Linked DNA regions of Kluyveromyces lactis. The protein of the gene in region 1 interacts with the protein of each later gene in a pairwise test. Links are inferred from orthologs where the notes say so. Each region holds a gene or a part of one and is shown on either strand. Other genes may lie near its edges.

Region 1 (3,485 bases):
AACAATTCTCTCTTTTCTACTCGACTGAGTAGAATTACTCCCTGTAACATTTACTTTTGAGTTGTTATAACCATATCACTCGATGAGTAATAAGTTACAGTTTAATTTCATGTGTGTATATTCCCCCAAAAAAAGAAATTTGTCACGATCGATTTATATCAATATTTTACTGTTTTGGACTAAAGTCTAGGGTGTTTACTGGCGCATTCGATTTTTCGCTCTGTCACAGCTCCTCAAGATCAATACATTTAATGAACATAATGTATTTTTTAATTCCAAATGATATTTGAAAATTTAGGCTAAATCGAAATAAATCAAAATCTCGCTCATTATTCGTCGAAACAAAAATATGAGTTCAATGTCCTTATTTATGATACTGTCATTTACTGGTGAGCAATTGAATACATTTTAACCATCAAGACTTTCTCTTGAGGTAATCTGGAAATTGCGGTATTCAAGTCATCCTAAAAAAAAAATTCAACACTCTACTTTCTATATCGAAACCTGAAAAAAAACATCAAATTATTATAATTAATCCTGTCTGAAATAACCTACTGATATATTCATTTGATACTAAGAAGAGTGACCTTTATGTTTTCCTTGTATCACGGGAAATATTAATAAACTCTTTATTTATATTTATTTCATATGTATGAAAAAACTAACTGAATTCTTAAATTAAGGCCTTGTGTTTTTATTCTGTATCTAACATAATAGCGTGGAACTTCTTGATGATAACTGCGTAATCATGCGCTGCATGATCACATTCTTTTTTTGTCTTGCAACGGACTAGTAGATAACTCATTTTTTTCCGCTTGAGTTACTGAATTCGTTGTATCTGGAGAAATGAATGTATTTATCCTTGAATCATCGTTTCTGGATGGATCCTCCTGATTAGATACTACGGGGGATACCATAGATGACGATGATCCAAACTCGTTCAAGGGCATTTTACTTTTCTTTGGAGTTGTTATGAAGCCATCATTCTCCTTGGTTTCTTTGTACTGATAATCATCCAACTCGGTGACATTTCTTTTCCTCGAAAGAATGCTTTCATTTTCATCTTCATTGGCCGCGTGTGAACTGACGGATAAAACGCTACTTGTTGAAGATAATCGAAGCTCTTCTTCGATAGGAACGCCATTGTACTTAAGCTGAGTGTCCGTAACATCTGTATGTGCATTATCTTGGTCATCATTTTCTGCTATCTCGCCTATAGAGATGTCGTCACTTGCATCCTCTTCCACCTCTTCTGCTTCCATTTCGTCGACGTCACTGTCGTTGTCTTCGTCTTCTTCATCTTCTTCTTCATCTTCGTGATCCTCATAGTCCTCATCTTCGAATTCTTCATCCATTTCCTCGTATTCCTCGATGAGCACATCGCCATGGTTATCATATCCACGACCGATGTCATGATCTGTACCATCTTCATTGTCGTCGTCGAAGTCATCATAACCAAAATTTACAGCCACTATAGTTTCAATCTTCGAAATAAACGCCTGCAAAGACTTCTCATCTTCTTTATTCGTGCGGATCCACTCAATAGGTATCAGAGAAACATCTTCCATTGGGTTTGTGTTTGGACACTCTTTGCCCAGCCTGGGTGTCCAATCAGTATTCACCAAGCAACATTTCTCCATGGCCGACACAAACTTTTGCAAACTGTGCACAGGGAAATATTGTAATGGATGGTAAGATAATTCGCATATCCGTTGAATCGTGAACGGATACTTATCTCTTTTTGCAAATTTCACAACAAGGTACCTCGATAGCTCTTTCAATCTGTGTAAAAGGTCTTCCTCTTGGTCCTCGTTATAATTGAAGATCTCCTTCGGTATCGTTATGCTGAAATGTTCAGATAGCTGTGGGATCAATTGCGAAGGCGATATTTCGTTAAACGCGCTTAGATCTTTATCGATAACTATTTTAGTCAAACGGTCGTATAGATGTCTGGATTTTATTCCCATCATATTGACAATGTATCTGATTAATGAGCTGATAGTAGGAAAGGCTGGCAAAAAAAAAAAAATTCTACGGTATAGTAATATTACACTTGGTTAGATCTCCTTGAAATGGCACTAACGAAAGATCGGTGTTCTCGGGGTATTCTAATTAGCACAAATAAGTCCAGTATGAGCGATGCCTTTTTTATTCCAAACTGGCAGATATAGAATAGATAAAAAGGATAGTCTCGGAAAATAATATGAAACAACGGACTTGTAACACCTAGTCCCAATAGACAGTACACGGTTAGCCAATCCCAGCTCAGCCAGCAGCCTTATAAAGTTCGTTCTCTAGTCTGTTGATTGACCGTTCTATCTTTGTAGCTTAGAAACCTACATGTTATTTGAACAAATTTCTTTTATTTATCATTTCACATAATATTGTGCGCATATAACAAATTTCACCAACTTTTCACGTAACGAAATGTGATATTATTTAAAGGATTTCACTTAAGAACGGCAGGAATTTTAACACTTAAGTACGGAAGTTCTAAAGATACTATAGTTACATACCTGAATACAAAATAGATCAACGACATCTTTACTATAATATTAAAGGCTAAGGTGTCTAATAAGGTACAGTCTATATAATATCATTAATTATTCTTGGCAAGCTTGTGCTCAATGCACTGACAGGCAAAACTACCAACGGCACATAGAAACAGATCATTAGTAGTCACGTGTATTTATGCGGGTAACACTGTTCACACTGGCTCATCTCTGAACCTTTGATCAAAAAAATTTACGATTTTCAAACCAAATTCAATATCATCATATTCTGGTGAAGTAAGCTTGAATTTGGATCTAATGAGAGTTACTCTTAGATTGAATAGGTTCTGGTTGTATTGTGTGTGTCCTTGTGTGGTCCTTGTGTACACTGGCATCTATTCAACGGAAATTGTACAGTATGTTGAGAGCAGGAAGGTTTAGTCTGAGTCACGTCCATGCTAACGTTTTGGCAAGAAGTCCACTTGTACATGCTGCCAGTATACCGACCATGCAAACCAGATTCCAAAGTCAATCTGTGAATAATAATGCGTCTACAGGGGAGAAATTAGCTAGCCTTAGCGACGAACAGGTTGATGAATGGTTGAAAGTTATTGGATCGTTAGAAGAAGAGTTTTCGCAACAAGATTATAACCCAGCTACGTCCCTTGCACCAGGTAACCAATCTAGAATTAATATCTTGGAGAAGGCTATGGAATTGAACAAGCCCAGCTTTGAGCCAAGTCAAGAGCAAATAAATGAATGGGAAACGTTGAAGCAAGTTCCCATTCCAAAAAAACAGGATCCAGTTTTACAGCATGTAACGAATATGATTATGAGACACGGGAAAAGAGAAAGAGCTGAGAAGATTCTTTCAAGAGCGTTATATATTGTGTTCTGTCAAACAAGGAAAGACCCGGTAAAAGTTTTGAAAGAATCCTTGGATGTGTTGGCGCCTCTTATGGTTATCAAGACCTTCAAGACTGGTGTCGCAAA
Region 2 (2,931 bases), about 380 kb from region 1:
CAGCTGTTCCCTTGCATCTAAACGTCTATTTGACTTTTTGTAAGACTCCGTTTAAGGTTGAGATACTTAATTGAAGATCAAATATCAAAATATTACCGTTAAATCCAAAATTGAAGGGAAGGTAAAAGTATCGTCATAAATGTTCTGCTCGAATGGAATACAACCAGAAATTCCATATTACAGTATAATATGTATGCTATCAAATGAATCATATAATTCAATCGTACAATTATTGAAATAGTTTACTGTTACATACCTATTGGGATACTTTTATTGAAATGTGGTATATCACTGTGTTGAATGAGATTAAGAAGAGAGGTAATATTAATACAAAGCAACAACTGTAGGTTGAGCTATGCTGGGAGGATGGTCGGTTGATAATGAGGATCAGGGTGATATACCATGCTGTTAAATAATGCTGAAAGAAAAGAAGACTGAACCAATAACACGGGAATCGGTCAGCAAATCGAGAAGAGAGAGAGAAAAATGCAAATAATAATGGTAATAAGTTACAAGAAGTAGTCCATTTGAGGTTTTTTCGTAGGGAGAATGACATTACCTCCACTATCCCTCGCCTGAACAGCTTCAAAAATGGTGTAATCCTTCGTCATATCGTCATCGATGCGCAGCACAGCAGCCACATTCCCACAACGATAACAGTAGTTTGGTGCTGACCATACCGTGACTAATCCCCCATCGAACATCTCTTTATAACCTTCCATGACCAATTGATGAGCTCTAGCGATTAATTCGACACTATTTGTGTGTAAAAATTTATCTACTTCGTTTTGGCCAAATAGGAAACCTGCACCACGCGGGGAAAGAGACCAAGTATCCACATCCTCTGGATCCGACCACAATAAATCACACATAGCACCTTCATGCGGTACCTCCTTTTTCCTATCGATGGTTCGTATTTCGTTGATTGATAAAACGTCCGGCGATAATCCACCATGAACACAGAAAACCTTGTTGTTTACAATGGCACCCAAGGGCAAATAGTCGAATACTTCGCAACAGTATCTCCATACGTTACTGTTACCATATTTCCTTACCACTTCGTCGTAAAACCCATAAACCTTCGTAATCTGTCTTGTTTCATGATTTCCTCGTATCAACACAATTCTATCTGGATACCTTAATTTATAACATACCAAAAGAAGGAAACTCTCTAACGAATAGAACCCTCTATCCACGAAATCTCCCAAAAAGATGTATCTATTCTTTTCAATGCCTCCACTCTTAGCAAAGAGAGTCAACAAATCATGCAATTGGCCATGAATATCTCCACAAATTGTGACTGGCGTATCCACATGTGTCACGTTAGACTCATTCATAAGAAGTTCTTGAGCCATGACACACAGCGAGTATATCGAATCCTCGTCAACATGTTTCCCCTGCCTTAGAGTCTCTATAATCTCATCGAGTTTCATCATTGACAGATGCTCAGACGACGTTAAAGTTAAAACCAACTGGAAGTATAAAAGATAAAAAAAAGTGATTCCCTGTTCAAGAACTGACGATATTATTCTATAGTGATGAGTTTGGATCAAATCCAACAAAAACCTACCTTAAACTAATCTAACAAAGGTAAACTGAATAGTCATCATTAACAATATAGGCTTAAAAGCTTCTTTACTTTCTTATTTTCCAAAATTCGATGAGATAGACAAAATGCAAGTATCAAGAGAAATAAAAGTATCAAGTATCAAAAGAGGTAACAACAATTACATTTTTCGGTTAGCCTGAAAAGTCAACTTGTCGGTCTGCGCTTTCCGGTATGTCTACAGTATATAGCGTAGTGTGGAATGCTTGCCTGTGTTGTATATGGGAATTGTTCAGAATCTTGCTTCTTCTTCTTCTTCTCCTTCCATTGTTTCTTTTTTTTTGCCTGTACTCTTTTTTCACGTTTCTTTTTATCAGTTTGCTTCCTTTTTTGTGTTTCGGCCACAAAAACGATAATTTAACGTGACATGCGGGTAATGAGGTGTGCTTATGTAAGCCTTCGGAAGATGACACCCAGACATCGGAATGGCGGTATTCGTGCGTGGTGATGTCAAATATCACGTGGTTGATAATGTGCTTGTATTACCCGGAAACTGCATGTATGTCCCGTGCGTGGTAATTGAGAAAGGCATTGATCGGAATCAACGCGTCTGGATAGATGAACGGAATGTTAAAATGTAAGTTGCTACCAAACCAAGCTAGATACTGATCGCAGCTAGCCCCTTGATAGAATGCTTCGTAATAACCTGGACCAATGGTACGAGTACAATACCTCTTTTGTAGAGAAATTGCATGGGAAGTACCCCAATGAACAGTTGAATGAATATTTGCAAACTACGAGTACGAATTCCCTGATATCCAATAGACAAAATTCGGAGTGGGATGAGCTTCCAATGGATTTGGATTCCCAATTGAAATTGGAATTTGCATTGTACTTGATTAATGAATCTGCTAACGGTTCTCTAAGTACTAAGGGAACTACTTTCTTACAAAAGCTTGGCTCGGTAGACGTTGACACGTTGAAAGAATTAGTCCAATTGGTACTAGAGAATGATAAATCTTTAGCCAATAAAAGCACTGATGAGGATGAGGGGAAAGTGGAACAGATCACCTCCTACCTGATCTCTAGCTCCATTTCTAAAGGTATCAATTTGGCATCAATAGACAATTCTTCCAACGAGGAGGGTGTACATGATCCAATCTCATTTTGTAAGAAAAACATCGACATCCTGTTGGATGCATACCCACAGAATTCAAGCAGTTCTTTGCAACACGCGCCCCTTTCTACCTCAGAATTGGAACTTAACGATATCTCAAAACAACAGGACCTACAAACGGCTATCACGGATTTACAACTTGCATACAAGTTCTTGAAATCGAAATATGAAAATGATAGAGATGAATACCAGGCGACTATAGAAACTC

What was found.
Region 2: the proteins of PSY4 (region 1) and PPH3 interact in binary tests that used the Saccharomyces cerevisiae proteins (3 or more experiments, as listed by UniProt). The link is inferred for Kluyveromyces lactis from reciprocal best matches to the Saccharomyces cerevisiae genes PSY4 and PPH3.

The regions. Positions count from the first base shown.
Region 1 is NC_006041.1:510,575-514,059, forward strand, and holds PSY4 (Psy4p), read right to left. Parts: upstream 1,971-3,485; coding exon 762-1,970; downstream 1-761. Other genes in the region: RSM7 (mitochondrial 37S ribosomal protein uS7m), read left to right, coding at 2,911-3,485. UniProt on the Saccharomyces cerevisiae protein: Regulatory subunit of the histone H2A phosphatase complex, which dephosphorylates H2AS128ph (gamma-H2A) that has been displaced from sites of DNA lesions in the double-stranded DNA break repair process.
Region 2 is NC_006041.1:889,648-892,578, forward strand, and holds PPH3 (phosphoprotein phosphatase PP4 catalytic subunit PPH3), read right to left. Parts: upstream 1,437-2,931; coding exon 510-1,436; downstream 1-509. Other genes in the region: PEA2 (Pea2p), read left to right, coding at 2,238-2,931. UniProt on the Saccharomyces cerevisiae protein: Forms the histone H2A phosphatase complex in association with the regulatory subunits PSY2 and PSY4, which dephosphorylates H2AS128ph (gamma-H2A) that has been displaced from sites of DNA lesions in the double-stranded DNA break repair process.